Linked DNA regions of Tamandua tetradactyla. The protein of the gene in region 1 binds, or shares a complex with, the protein of each later gene. Links are inferred from orthologs where the notes say so. Each region holds a gene or a part of one and is shown in the gene's direction. Other genes may lie near its edges.

Region 1 (7,599 bases):
TGGGAGGGGGCTCTCCGGAGGGGGGCCAGCTGGCAGGGCCAGGCGCTCAACAGCTTCCTCTCGGGGCAGGCTACATCCACGTGACTCAGAGCTTCTGCATCCTGGCCGCCCTGTGGGGCCTGGTGTCCCTGGGTCTGCTTGTCCTGTCCTGCTTCCCCTCGCTGTCCGTCCCCCACCGCGGCCTCCTCTCCGCTGTCACAGGCTTTGTTGCAGGTAAGGGCTCCGAGGGGCGTGGCCATCATGGGGGGGGAGGGGGGCAGGGGACTTGCTGCCGAGGGGCTGAACCGTCTCTCTCGCCCCCACCCCCAGCCTTCTCCATGATGGTCGCCATGGCCGTGTACACCATCCAGCAGTGGGGCCAGCCGCTGCAACCCCAGACCCAGACCTTCTTCTCCTGGTCTTTCTACCTGGGCTGGGTCTCAGCTCTCCTCTTGCTCTGCGCAGGTGACAGCTGCCCTCCAGCCCAGCTCCCCCACCCCACCCCACCCCACCCCGGGGAGCTCCAGAGGGCCCAGTGGGGGGCCGAGGGAGCAGGGCGGGGACAAGTGCTAACCTCTTTCTGGCCACCCAGGGGCCCTGAGTCTGGGCAGCCACTGCAGTGACCCCCGGCCGGGCTACGAGACTTTGTGAGCTGATGGAAGGATGGCAGGTGAACTCTGGAGCCCTCTTCTCTGGCAGGCAGTGTCCATTGGGAGGCACCAGCACGCCGCGCCCTCCATCCCTCCCCTCCCCCTCAGCCCTTACCCAGCCCCCCACCCCCAGTCCTTTCATTTGTATCTTGTTCCATTCAACAAAGTTTTGCAGCGATGTGGTTATTCTGAGATTAATTCAGCAAAGACATAAACCAACCTGAGCGTCAGCTCCATGAGGGGTGAGGCTGGTGGGGGTGGGGTGCCCAGCCAAGTGGGAGAGTCCCACCAGCCCGCAGGGAGCTCCCTGTTCTCTCTTCTTTCTCTTTTCTTCCGTGTCCTTCTCCCTTTGTCTCTAGCTCTCTCCTCCTCTCAGGTTCCGTCACCCTCTCCCTCACTCTCCTCTCCTTTGCACATGGCATTAATCCACTCACTCCCCTGAGCTTGGGTTCTCTGTGGGCAGCGGATCTGAGTCATACCTAGGGCCCTGCCGTGGTCTCACACACTGGAAGGCAGGGGCAGGTAAAGATGAAAAGCAGTTAACACAGGCCAGAGAGTTGGCTCCCAGGGAGGGGGCCAGAGAAAGACCATGCAGAAGGCATTTTGGTACTTTTCGAGGAGCCAGGAAGGGCGGTGCAGGCAGAGGGCCCAGGGGCTGGCCGGGGGTGGAGGTTGCACTTTGTGGCTGGAATGGAGAATGGTGAGGGGGGCAGGGCCTCTAAGACCACCTTTAATTCCCTCCTGAATATGACCAGGAGCAAAGAGGAGGTTGTGAGCAGAGAAGGACTGTGGCCAGCTCTGGGTGTCAGACCCCTTTGGGGGTTTACAGGGAGGCGGGAAGGGCAGGGAAAGCCCCTGGCAGTGGGACCCGTGGGGGTGGATAGGTCAGGCCTGGGGCTAAGTGCAAGAAAAGGGGGGAATGAGTCAGCTTCAGGGGGCAGGAGGAATAGGACTTGGGGACTCAAGGGCTTTATGGGGTAGGGGGCGGGCAGCAAGCAGGGGCCTAGGGGAGTGGGTGGGAGAAATGGGCTGCAAATGGAGCTTGGGGTGGCTGCAAGGAGCTGCAGGCTCACTTGGAAGGAAGGTGCAGGATGGAGCCTCAAGGAAAACCCATGTTGAGGAGTGGGGGGGGTGAGCTGGGGAGAAAAAAAGCCCACAGGGGTCCTGAGGGCACAGCCAGACAGCAGGAGACCAGGAGGGCTTGTGGGGTGCCCCAGAAGCTAAGGGAAAAGCAGTATCTAGACCTAGGAAGTGGTCTACCACGTCAAGACCCACGCCACACCTGCTGTCTGACTCAGAGCTGTCACATTGCTGGGAATCCAATGCATGCAGGAGGGGGTAGCAGGGCTTTATCTCTTTAAATGGCCACTGGCGAAGGGGGTTCTGGAACTCCTGCTGCCTCACAGAGGCCCAGTCTCCCCTGACCCCGGCTCTGTGTGTAGCAGTCCTGGGGAACTCGGTGTGGTCACTTAGGTGGGTGTGTGTGTGTGGGGGGGGTGCACACTGAAGGGCCAAAGGGGTAGACTCCTCTGGGAAAGGGGGGTCTCAAGGGGACAGGGAGGTTCCTAAACAGAGAACCTGGAGGAAGAAGGGGTCTCAGGGACACTGGCATGGTTGCTGGGGAGAGGAGAGCCCAGGAGTAAGGGCTCCAAGCAGGGATCCCTGGAGGAGGGAAAGGAAGGCCCGAGGGTGGTCTGCCCCACCCCACCCCCACCTGTGACAGGGGTGCTGGGAAAGGAGACTGAGGAATAGTGGGAGCTGGGGGAGGAGCCTGGGGAGAGAGGTGTGGGGGAGGGGGCCTCAGGGGGATGGAAGGAGCTGGGGAAGGGGCCTGGGGAGAGAGAAGCCTGGGGGGAGGGGGTCTCAGCAGGGTGGAAGGAGCTAGGGGAGGGGGTCTCAGAGGGGTAGAAGGGACTGAGCCTGGGATCTGGGGGGGTGGGGAGATGGAGGGATCTGGGGGTGGCGTCTGGGGAGGGGGCAGATGGGAAGCCCGGGCCTGGGCTGAGGTCGGGGGTGTGGCCTCCTCCTGAGCATGTGGCCCTCGCAGCAGCCTCCCTGGCATGGGGGTGAAGCACAGCCTTCAGAGGGGGGGCACCCTGCTCAGCCTGCTGGCCAACATCCTCATGGTGCTGTCCGCTGCCACCAACTACTGGAGTCGCTACCCCGAGGGCCACAGCGGCCTGTGGCAGGAGTGTCACCAGGGCACCTGCTCCGTCATCCCCTGCCAGAGTGAGGCCCGGCTCCCCGCCGACCGCAGCCCCGCGGGGGGCCTTGCCACGCCCCCGACCTCCCCGCCCCCACCCCAGGGAGCTGACGCCGGCCGGGACTGACGCGGCCCCTCTCCCCAGCCATGTTGGCGGTGACCGGGGCGTGCATGGTGCTGGCGGCGGGCTCCGGCATTGTGGGCATGGCCATGGGGCTCAAGATCCTGTGCCGCCACGGCGACGCGCTGCGGGGCCAGGCCACGAGCGCCGTCCTCTTCCTCAGCGGTGAGACCGCAGCGGCTCCGGGGCTGGGGGAGGGCGGGAGGCGGGCGGGGGCGGGGGCGGGGTCTGGCCGTGCGCACCCGGCGGCGCTCACCTGGCGGGCGGGGGGCCAGGGCTGCTTCTGCTCATTGCCTTAACAGGCTACACGGTGAAAGACGCCTGGAAGTCCGACGTCTTCTTCTCCTGGTCCTATTTTGCGGGGTGGCTGGCTTTACCCTTCTCTATTCTCGCGGGTAACCGGCACGGCGGGAGAACGCGGGTGGAGGGACCGCCCAGGCGACCCCACGGCCCCCGCAGCCGCCGGCCCAGGGAGCCCCCCACCGACCCCCAACCCGCCACCCCCACGCCCCCAGACCTAGACCTCTACCCGGGCCCGTCCCGCCCCGGGACCCACCGCCCCTCTCCCGCCAGGCTTCGGCTTTCTGCTGGCGGACATGATCCTGCAGAGCACCGACGCCATCAGCGGCTTCCCCGTGTGCCTGTGAGCGCGGCCTCCTGCGGCAGAATAAAGGAACGGCTGCCAGCGCCGCGGCTCGCGCGCCTTTCTGGGGGTCGTGGGGACACGGGGATATGGGCGTGGAGAGGGCGAGGACACGGATACGGTGCACGTGAACGTGGAAAAGGCGGAGATATGAACACGGGAGATACGGACACCAGGGTCATGAGCGTGGAGAGGGCGGGACACGGACACGGGGTCGCAGACACGGGAGACATTGAGTGTGCAGAGGACATGGGGGAACATGAATGTGGGGAGGGTGGGGACACGGAGGACACGTGAGTGTGGAGAGGGAGGGGACAAGGACACCGGACGACATGAACGTGGGGAGGGCGGGAACACGGACGCGGGCCGCAGACCTGGGGTACGTGGGGTGGACTGGGAACATGAACAGCGGGAACGTGGACACGCGGGAGGACATGTACGTGGACGCGCGAACGTGGAGCGGACAAAGGACATGGATATAGAAAACAGCGGGGACACGGGGGGAAGTGAGGACACGTGGGGTGTGGACGCTTGGGGACAGCGTAGGGAAGAGGTGGGGAACTTGGGGACTAGGGCGACCCGGAGCTTCTCCCTCCCGCCCCTCGCGGCCCCGCCCCCGCAGCCGACACGACCTTTCCTCTAGTTCCTGGCCACGCCCCCTCACGGGGCCTTTTCCTCCCTCCTGTTCCCGCCTCTCACCCGGGAGCCGCGCCCTATTTTTGGTCACATTCGCTTGCCGGCCTCCCATTGGCTGGCCCCGCCGTGGTTGACTGACTGGGAGGGCGGTGCGCAGGCGCAGAGAGGGACGGGAGAGGGGGCGTGGCGTCCGGGCCGAGGGGCCGGCGGCTGAGGCGGCGGGAAGATGGCGGAACTGCGCGCGCTCGTGGGCGTCAAGAGGGTCATCGACTTCGCCGTGAAGGTGATCTGGTCCCCCTCTCCCACGTCCCTGAGCCCCGCGGCCGTATACTTCCCGGGTCACGAGCGCACGCTGTCTCGTAACCTCTGACCTCTGCTGTGCTTATCCCCAACGTCAAAGTCGCACCTGGGGGCAAAGATCAAGGACGGAGAGGTTCTGACCCCGTCCTTTTTCCCCAGTTTTGGACATACAATGTTGAGAACTGTGTGCAGAGCAAGTTACCTCCTGTATTTTTTAGCTACTGGGGGAATCCTAGACCCTTTTAACACACGGGGAAACTGAGGCACAGGGCGGCCAGGAAGGGGCAGAGCCGACGTTGCAGTCCTGGGCCTCCTGACTCCTTAGCTTTTACCCACGAAGCTGTAATTCTCAGGAGGAGGTCTTTTACCGCACAGAGCCACAGAGTCAGTGAGGAGGCTTTAGCTAGAAGTGGAAGCTGGGAAGAGCGTTTTTGTTTGCTGGAGATGAAAGTGCCTGGAGAGCACAGCCAGCCTGACCCGTGGGGCAAGGCTGGGTTTCTCCAGAGGGAAGCTGGTCTGGAGAAGATGAATCAAGCACAGCACCCCTCAAGCCAGTCTCTCTCAATACATGGCCTGAAAACCAGACTGAAGGTGATGACTGTTTATCCATCCATGGCTGTCTCCCCCCTCAGACTGAGAGCTTACATCTGTGTCCCCAGCAGTGCCCCTCCCCACCCCTGGCACCTAAGAGGTCTCAGCACAGATGAAACAGGGCCAGAAAGTTGGTACTGATTTTAGTGAGTGAAATGGGGGGCCAGGAGGGGCCAGGAGTCAACCGTGGGCCTGAAACTTCAGTGATTATGATTGCTAACATTTAGGGAGTTCGAACTGTGCAGTGTTGTAAGGCCTTCACAGAGGATGTGTCTCTTGAGGTTCTTCCCAGGACAAAGAAATGGTTCAGACATTGCCAGCTCCCCATTCACTGGGCCAGACCCCAGCACGGTCTGCTTCCTTCCTTCCCTCACCTCCCACAGTCTCAACCGGGACCCTCCGGCTCTCCTGCCTTTCTGCCCTGTCTCTTCCTCTTCCTCCTCAGGACCCAGCAGTTCGGGCTTCATCTTCTCCCACTGGGACCCTTGCTCAGTCTCCTCCATGGCTTCCAGTCCACCCCCTACCAGCTCCAGGGCTCTTTCCCTGCTGCCACCCTACTCCTTGCACTCCCGTGGTTGACCAGGACCCTCCCCACCTCCTAACAAAGTTGCATCCCCTCAGCCTGGCCTTTGACCCCCCTCACGGGTTTGTCCCCTCCAGCTTCACCCTCTGTGCTTCCATAACCCCAGCCTGCCCCTGCTTTCCTGACAGACCCAGCTGCTTCTTGCCTTGGCCCTCCCCTCCCCCCATGCCTCCTGCCTGGGCGCCTTTCTCATTCTACCCTTCACCTATGCCCTCCCCTCCCTTACTCTGCCTAACTGCTACCCACTGATTGTATTAAAGTTGAATCACCTCCTCCGGGAAGCCCTCCCCCCTTCAACTGCCATCAGGCTCATTGGTGGCTGCCAGTGATTGCATCTTTCTTTTAACCACATGTCCCCCTCTGCCACCGGACAGCTCCTTTCAAGGAGGGCCCAGGTGTGACTCTTTTCTCAGCATGGCTCCCTCCCCTCCTTCAAGTCTTTGCTAAACTGTTATCTTCAGTGTGAGGCCTTTCCTGGTTACCCACTTAAAACCACATTTTCCTCTCATTCTTGTCTTGTTTTATTTTTTTCCATTATCTTAGCATCTTGTCATCTGCTATATAATTTATATATTGACTGCTTTAGTGTCTGCCGCCTTTCCCAGACTTTGAGCCCCCAGGGGGGTTGCCTGGTGTGTACACTGTTGTTGCAGGTAGCGAGTGTGACTAAACAGCTCAGAGCGCAGACCCTGGAGCCCAGCTGCGTGGGTTCACGTTTCACTGTCACCATTTCTGCCGTGTGACCATGGGGAGTTATTTAAGCACTCTGTGTTAGTGACCTGCTGCTGCTGTAACAGATTGCCGCAAAGGTGGCACAATTTATTCTCTTACATTCCTGGGGCCCAGAATGCCAAAACCAGTCTCATGGGGCTAAGGCCCAGGAGTCAGCAGGGCTGGTTTCTTCTGAAGGCTCCAGGAGAGAATCCTTTTCTGGCATCTGGAGGCCGCCTGCCTTCCTTGGCTCATGGCCCCTTCCTCCTTTTCAAATTCAGCTGTGTAGCAGGCTTTCACTGTCCCTTTGCTCTCCTCATCACATCTCTTTCTAGCTGACTCTGATCCCCCATTTCTCTTATGAAGTCCCTTGTCATTGCAGTGGGCCCACCCTTGCAATCCAGGATAACCTCCCCATCTCAGAATCCTTAGCTTCGTCAATCCACCAGGCACCTTTTGCCACATAAGGTCATTTTCACAGGGTCTGGGGATGAGGCCACAGATATCATTAGGGGGCTGCTCTTCAGCCTTCCCCTCCCCCGCCCCCAACACTATGAGGTTCTGTTTCCTCTTTGGAACAAAGGAGATTGTGATGGTCCCTGCTTATTTTGGTTGTTCTGACCATTCGCTGAGTGATGTTTGTAGAGCTCTGTACATGAGCGCCGAATGGGGTAAGTGCCAGCAGAGATACACAGTGAGGGGCGTCACTGGTAGGAGGTAGTGGGGGTTTAGTTAATCACTTATTCAAAATATAACAGATCCTCTGCTTAGAATCTTTGTGCTCATGTGCACGCATGTGTGGGCGTGCTGTGTGTGCAAGTGTGGGTGTGCATGTATGGGTGTGCTGTGTGTGTGCACGTGTCTGCATTGGGTATTGGTAGACACAGCACAGCACAGTAAATACTCATCCCTGGCCTGGGGCACCTGTTCCAAGAAGTTGAGGAACTAAACCTTCCAGGCCTCTTCTGAGACCCTGGGAGAAGCCACAGCAATTCTCAATTCACAATTCAGCAGGACCCCCAGAGTATATAAATTTCGGGCCCCAGAAAATCTCTTCCTACCTCTGGGATGATCCTAGACCAGCCACATCCTTCTCGGTTCCTGGGGGTGTGAGATACTTTTCTCCCCTTGACACTGGAGGAGGCTGGGCCCCCCTCGTTCTCAGGGTGCACATGTCACTGC
Region 2 (7,430 bases), on another chromosome or scaffold:
TTTGTAGGGATGGGGTGCTGTCTTTCAGGATGCCGTGTACATCCTGAATCAAAGACCTTTATAGGGTGCTGTGTCCCCACCAGGAAGAATACATGGATCCAGGAACCAAGGGGTGGAAGCAGGAGTGGTTCGTTTTACCATCAGTGTCAAGTGATGAGCAGTACCCACAACTCTAGGCTCTGTGGAATTAGAGAGTTTTGTCCCCAAAGGGGGAAACTGCTGCCAGAGGACCCGGCATGAGTCCCATTGCAATGGAAGTGACGGTTCCCACCTGAGCTCTTTGGGAACCTTGTATGGAGGGACCAGCAGGCAAGAAGAGGAGTCACCATTACGGCCAAGGGAGATCCACTTGGGGGACTCTCCCACCCCCTTGAATGCATGACAAATGGGGAAGTGCAGCAACCCTGGTCTGAAGACAGCCACCAGGTAAGCCACTGAGCCTAGCAGAGCTGCTGACTGAGAGTGGAGGGAACTTAGAATGGACAAGGAGGAAGGAGTGCAGTAGTGGCCCTGAGATCACTGCAGCAGCCGGGGCTGTAGTTCAATGATCTATCCTTCCTCATCCAAGTTTCAGTGGGAAGACAGGCCCACCAGACTCCCGAAGGAGCTGCTCCCCAAACTGGCCTGTGGAGAGGAAAGAGGTGTTTTTCCAAACAGAGTCAGTCTTCAGGGGTTGACTGTGACAACCCCTCCCTCTAGGCATTCCTTTCTTCTCTCCTTTCCTCTGTGCACAAACATTTTTACAGACACTCATTGAACATCCACAAATATCAACCAGATAATAAAACCCACGTTTCCTGCCACCAAGAAGCTCCTAATGGAGTGGGAGAGACAGACCCCGATATTATGAATGCTTTAGTAAGCACATTTCTCTGGCCCTTCTCCTCTTGCAAATGCAGGAAGCTCCCACTATCTCCCATGCCTCCCAAACACCCAGGAGGCATCTCATGGGTGCCCCTTCTCTGTTCTGACCCTGTTCTTCCAGGATCCACCGCTTCCCCCGGGCATGGCGCCTCTGCTGGGCACAGCTGCTGCTGATTCACTGGAGCCTGGGAGGTGCCAACTCCGTCCTGTGTGGGTCGGGAAGCTTCTCTCCCCTTTTGCGTTTTGCTTTGTCATGGGCGGGGGACAGGGAAAGAGGTTAGTTTGTATCCCAATTTTTTACATTTTTTTTTTAAGCAAAATATCCCTTTCGGTTTTGACTTAAAGTACTCCCATCTCTTCTGTTAATTTCCATAGGACTCAGATTTCAGTCCAGTGGGGTACTGGGGTGGGAGGCAGCGTAGTGGTCAATGGGACTTAATGGTCCCCTCCTCCCACACGCGGATTTAGTGGGGCTCCACAGCCTCGGGCCCCTGCACAAACACAGACATGTCTGCAGCGGATGTGAGTATGCTGAAAGTGGGCCCCCAGGTCCTCATTGAGAAAGGTAAGAGAGTAAAGGTGAAAGACAGATTCCTTCATCCTGGAGGACTAGGGAAGGCTTTGCAGAAGAAATGTCACTTGAGCTGTGTTTTTTTTTTTTTTAATTTTTAAAGTTTTTTAAAACATGACAAACAAGCACAAAAATTCTTACCATATGATCAATCCATTCTACATACATAATCAGCAATTCACAATATCATCACATAGTTGCATATTCATCATCACGATCATTTCTTAGAACATTTGTATCAATTCAAAAAAAGAAATAAAAAGAAAACAGAAAAAAATTCATACATACCATACCCCTTACCCTTCCCTTTCATTGATCACTAGCATTTCAATCAACTAAATTTATTTTAACATTTGTTCCCCCTATTATTTATTTATTTTTAATCGATATATTTTACTCATCTGTCCATAACGTAGATAAAAGGAGCATCAGACAGAAGGTTTTCACAATCACACAGTCACATTGTGAAAGCTCTATCATTACACAATTATCTTCAAGAAACATGGCTACTGGAATACAGCTCTACATTTTCAGGCAGTTCCTCCAGCCTCTCTGTTATGCCTTAACTAAAAAGGTAATATCTATTTAATGCGTAAGAATAACCTCCAGGATAACCTCTCGACTCTGGAATCTCTCAGCCATTGGCATTTTATTTTGTCTCATTTTGCTCTTCCCCCTTTTGGTCGAGAAGGTTTTCTCAATCCCTTGATGCTGAGTCCCAGCTCATTCTAGGATTTCTGTCCCACATTGCCAGGAAGGTCCACACCCCTGGGAGTCATGTCCCACGTAGAGAGGAGGGTGGTGAGTTTGCTTGTCATGTTAGCTGAGAGAGAGAGAGAGAGACCACATCTGAGCAACAAAAGAGGCTTTCATGGGGGTGACTCTTAGGCCTAATTTTAAGTGGGCTTAGCCTATCCTTTGTAGGGTTAAGTTTCATATGAACAACCCCCAACATTGGGGGCTCAGCCTATTGCTTTTTTTGTCCACACTGCTTGTGAGAATATCAAGAATTCTTGACTTGAGAAAGTTGAATTTTCCCCCTTTCTCACCATTCCCCCAAAGGAACTTTGCAAATACTTTTTTATTCACTGTTCAAATCACAGTGAATGCTGAGGGATGCCAAGAGAGCAAGGCATCGGAGGAAATTAAATTTTGTATGGCCATGGGGAGTGGGGTGGAGAGTGTGAAAAACAAGGCTCAAGAGGAAGGAAAGGATCAGCTCATAGAAGGCTTGTTAAGTCATTTAAGGAGTTTGGATTTTATCCTAAGAGCAATGGAGAGCCACTGAAGTGTTTCGAATAGGAAAATAACATCACTAGTTTGTACTTTGAAAAGAGCTCTTCAGTTGCAGTTGAAGATGCATTGGAGGGTGGGAAGACTGGAAGGTGGGATAACAGTAAGGAGGCAATTGTAGAAGCCCAGACACAGAATAGGGTAGAGGACAGTCCTAGATGGATTTGGGAGATGTTTTGGGAATGGAATTGTCCAGGTTTAGTAGATAAGACAGAGGATAATGGGGAGAACAGTCAAGTATGACTCCCAGGTTTCTGGCTTGAGCAGCTGGGTGGAGGCAGAATGCATGCTCTGAGAAAGTGATTACAGAGAGAAAATTAAATTGGGGGAGGGAATGACTCAGTCTCAAAAATATGGGGTTGAGGTATTGAAATACATCCTGAGTGGATGCCCAGTAGGCAGGTGGATATATGAATCCAAAGTTCTGGAGATTTGGCAGTGAAGCCTTGGGGGTGGGTGGAGTGGGACTGCTGAGCAAGACTGGGTAGATTGGAGGGAGAAAAGGGCTGTCTTAGTTTCCTGGATGCTAAATCAAATGCATTACAATGAGTTGGCTTAAACAACGGGAATTTATTGGCTCGCGGTTTTGAGGCTACTAGAAGTCCAGACTCAAGGTATCATCAAGGCAATGTTTTCTCCCATCGGTTGCTGGCAATCCTTGGTCCTTGGCTTTCTGTCACACGGCAATGCATCCAGTGGCTTCTTCTGGCTTCTCCTTCTTTTCTGGGTTCTATCGACCTTCTGCTTCTGACTGCTCTCATTGTAGCTTTCTCTCTCTGTGTCTGATTTTCACTCTGTGTATAAAGGACTCCAGTAATAGGATTAAAACCCATCCTGATACAGGTGGGCCACACCTTAACTGAAGTAACCTCATCAAAAGGTCCTATTTACAATGGGCTCACACCCTCAGGCAAGAATTATGATTAAGAACATGATTTTCTGGGTTCATAGCTCTAAGTTCCCACAGGCCCCAAGGGATGCCTTCATTCAAGACCTTTCCCAATCTGCTTTTCCAGCATATTTCCAGCCATCCCTTCCTCCTTCTACAGCACATAAAATTTTGTCCCTTTTCTCTGGACCCTCCCATCAGTTCCTCCATTCTTGTTGTCCTGGAGGTTCCTTTTCTGGAATTCAGTTCAAATATCCCTAACTCCCTGTACACATTCCCTTTCTTTTTTTTTTTTTTAACTCTCTTTCCATAATGGTAAAGGATATGCTTTTCTGTGTGTTTCCTCCTAAATCTTGTGAGGTCCCCAGAGGTAGGACAACATCTTATGCATTTTTTATTATATTCCCCTCATCCAGAAGAGTTCTTAGCACATCATAGCTGCAGCACTGATACCTGTGAATAAATGAACGAGCGAATGAATGAATGGAGGGAGAGGGTGGACTTCATCCTGGCGGGGGGAGGGTGGAAGCCAGGAGAGTGACGTCATCAGTTCACTTGTTAAGTTTACTCCAGCGACGTCGCCTGTTGTGGGGCTGGGACACCGTCTGGCCCATAGTCGCAAGTAGCCTTCCCCCCTGCCTCGGCCGCTCCACCGCCGCGCTTCAAACCCAGCCTCCCAGAGAGCACCTCACCTTTACCCCACTTCCAAGTCCGGCCCCAACTTTCCGCCGCCCTCATTGGCTGCGCGGTTGTCCAATGGGCGGGCGGGAAGCGCGCGCTCGCGGTCCGCGTTGAGGTCGCCCACTCTCGTTCGCGCCTCTCGCGAGCGTTAGGGTGGCTGGCCCGGGCCGTGCGTCTTGGCCTGGAGGCCTGGAGGCTGCCGGCTGCCGGGAGGCTGAGGTGCGGACCCGACCTGTACAGAGACCATGTTCCGAGCGGCAGCTCCTGGGCAGCTCCGGCGGGCGGTGAGTCCGGGCGGGGAGGGCCGAGCTCGGTCACCGGCCCTCGCGCGGGCAGGTCGGGCCCGCGGGGCCTGGGAGCGTCGGGCCAGAGGTCGGGGCCTGGTGACCCGGGGTAGGGAAGCTGCCCGCCCCGCGCCCCTCCTCCGCGCCCCGCCCCCTCTGGCCCCTCTCTCGGGGTTCACGCGCCTGCTGGGCACCCCAGGTCCTCCACACCGGGAGGGGAGCGGGCGGCCCAGACCCCTGACGCGCGGGGACCGAATGTCGCGCGGGAGGCGCCCCCGGGGGGAGCTGGGAACCCGGCCCAGCCTGGAGCCGCCGCTTGTGGAGGATTCCGCGTCTGATCCGGGCACTGACCGGCGTGGGGGTGGTGCGTGTCTGTCCCTGGCTAGTGGGACAGAGCTCCCTTTAGGCCACTGTCTGTGCAAGGCCCGCGGTCCAGTCCGACGACTTGAGCCGCTTTTGAGCGGCGGGCGTCTTGATCCTGCAGTCTGACCTGCTTTTAAGCCAGCACGTGGTGTTGAAATGGGCAGAGAACCGGTGGCAGCGGTGCGTTGTGGTGCTTTCAGTTGGGACACCTCGTGAGTTTATCACGTTTTTTAACTCCTAATGTGGGAGGGGCTGATAAATTTTGTCCAAATGCTGTGGGAGAATTGGAGACTGGCCAGACACATGTCAAGTAACAGTTTATGTAGATTTCTAATTAACATTGAAGTTAAGTGAGAAACGAGATTACTAAACTTGGGTCAGAAACTTTTTGACGTTTTGTACCTTTCCTCTTTTTTTTTTTTTTGGTGTTTGGCATATTTTCCATTCACCGCTGGGCTTTTCTCCCCGGGAAGTAGCTGTCAATCTATCCAGATGTCTGTAGGCCCTTTCTTTGGGCTTATTCCTTATTCCATAAAAAATCCCACCCCACCCTCCCCTAAAAACCCACATCCTTCAGGTTTGTGTATTCGCTTTCCTCCGGGAGTTCCCCTCCCCCAGTATGATGTAGATAGAAACAAGTTATAAGTCTTGCATTTGGGAAGATTCCAGAAATCAGAGCCGGATTTATGGAAGAATATCTGTGAATAACTGAAAGGTGGTTTTATGGACTGGATTAGAGTCTGGCATATATGAAATGAGCGATTTTGGGGGGCAGACTCATTAGTTTTGTAGCACTAACAAAAAAATCAGGATTGATTTTTGGTAATTCTTATTTACACCGTTATAAACAGACATGGTTTTTCCAGATGTTTATTGCAGTTTTCCAAGGACTTTTCTAAAGACTTTGACCTTGATTTGAAGCTGAGAGTAGCTGCTCTAAAGTCTTTGAGAGTGTATGAGAGATTTGAATTACAAGTGTATGGGAAATGGTGGGAACACTTCCAAAACAGGACATAAGTACAGATAATTTAAATTTTGAAATATTTCAACTTATAATAAATATGAAAAAATAGTACGAAGAATTCTTCAATTCTTTCACCAATTGTTAAGTTTCACACATTTGTTTTAGCTCTTTTTATATATTCATATTATTATTTTCTGAACCATTTCAGAGTAAATTGCAGACATGCCCAATACCCCTAAATATTTTTTAAAGTATAAATGTTTTTTATTTTTATTTTTTAGTGTTTATTTTTTAAGAACAAGGAGGTTCATTTTGAAAAACTCAGTATAATTGTCAAAATCAAGAAGTTTAATAATGATACAGTGCTATTGACAAGTTTTGCTAGTTACATCAATGTGGTTTATAGCAATTTTCCTTATTCTGGTCTAGGATAGTCCAGAATCATGCCTTACACTTAGTTTTCATGTCTCTTTAGTCTTTGTTAGAAAGGTTCCTCCTTTGTTTTTTTTTGGCTTTGATGACAGTGACATTTTTGAAGAGTATAGACCTTTTATTTTTTATCCTGTCTTCTGATTTGGGTTTGTCTGATGTTTCCTTACAGTCAGGCTCAGGTTATGTATTTTTTGCAAATTATCACAGATGTAATGTGTAGTTAATTCAGTGCATATTAGGTGACGCTTTATTTTGGTTTATCCCATCATTGTTGGTGCAACTTGAATCCCTTTGCTAAAGTTGAGTTCACCAGTTTCTCACTGTAAAGTTACTAGTCTTCCTTTGTGAATTTTAAAGTAATTTGTGGAGAGATGCATTGAGACTTTGAAACTATTCTGTTTCTTATCAGACTTTCATCCTGTGATGATTTTTGCCTGAGAAATGCTTATTATGATGGTTGCAAAATGGTAACTTTCTAACTCCACCATTCCTTCTACACTTACTAGTTAGCATTGTACTACAGGGAAGAACATTGCCTTCTTTCTTATTTATTTATGGACTCATGGATCCATATTTCAGTTAGTGAGTTATAATCTATTATTTTCTGTATATATATTTTGATGAACAAATTGTCCCATATTTGTAAAGGGGGAGCCTCTTCAGTCTGGCTCCTGTTTATTCATAAGGCCATAAAATCAAAATAGCTGATCTCAAATCTCCATTCTTCAAATGTTTCTAACTGTTCTGTAGCTAGCCATGAGTAAATTTAGGAAGATATATTTCCAAAAACATGCTTTTAATAATCAAGTTAGAAACTATATTTAAAATATTATCTTAATTGTTAGAATGTAAGTTAAATGATTTGCCTTTGGTATCAAAGTTGCATTTCCAATTTTGACTGGTTTGTGCCATTGAGTAAAGTCTTTGAGGTTTCGGGACCCCTTCCATAACGTCATCTGTCAATGAAGGTGGTATTTTACATCTATGGTAAGAAGCTAGAGAACACACAGGGGAAAATAAAAAGTCAGGCATTTTCAATTTTAACATTCTTACAGGGATTTAAATTATTGTTGTTGGTATTGTATTCAT

What was found. The genes of interacting proteins can lie anywhere in the genome.
Region 2: the proteins of ETFB (region 1) and ETFA are in contact, whole or in part, in a crystal structure (PDB 2A1U), measured with the Homo sapiens proteins. The link is inferred for Tamandua tetradactyla from reciprocal best matches to the Homo sapiens genes ETFB and ETFA. Residues at the interface, in NP_001976.1 of Homo sapiens: Ile14, Tyr16, Val18, Ile20, Val22, Val29, Thr31, Phe41, Leu102, Arg106, Lys124, Gln125, Ile127, Asp128, Asp129, Asp130, Cys131, Asn132, Gln133, Gln136, Met137, Ala139, Gly140, Phe141, Asp143, Trp144, Pro145, Gln146, Thr148, Phe149; in NP_000117.1 of Homo sapiens: Glu27, Leu88, Pro89, Glu90, Ser113, Ala114, Phe115, Lys117, Asn118, Pro121, Arg122, Ala124, Ala125, Lys126, Glu128, Val129, Ala130, Pro131, Ile132, Ser133, Arg146, Thr147, Ile148, Tyr149, Ala150, Gly151, Asn152, Ala153, Leu154, Cys155.

What each region holds. Positions count from the first base shown.
Region 1 is NC_135342.1:9,987,429-9,995,027, forward strand, and holds the start of ETFB (electron transfer flavoprotein subunit beta), read left to right. Parts: upstream 1-4,581; 5' UTR 4,582-4,976; coding exon 4,977-5,123; intron 5,124-6,995; exon of another isoform or gene 6,996-7,088; intron 7,089-7,599. Other genes in the region: protein NKG7, read left to right, coding at 70-213, 310-444, 572-630; CLDND2 (claudin domain-containing protein 2), read left to right, coding at 2,240-2,268, 2,677-2,858, 2,978-3,118, 3,229-3,348, 3,527-3,600. UniProt on the Homo sapiens protein: Heterodimeric electron transfer flavoprotein that accepts electrons from several mitochondrial dehydrogenases, including acyl-CoA dehydrogenases, glutaryl-CoA and sarcosine dehydrogenase.
Region 2 is NC_135340.1:90,701,480-90,708,909, forward strand, and holds the start of ETFA (electron transfer flavoprotein subunit alpha, mitochondrial), read left to right. Parts: upstream 1-4,414; 5' UTR 4,415-4,543; coding exon 4,544-4,582; intron 4,583-7,430. UniProt on the Homo sapiens protein: Heterodimeric electron transfer flavoprotein that accepts electrons from several mitochondrial dehydrogenases, including acyl-CoA dehydrogenases, glutaryl-CoA and sarcosine dehydrogenase.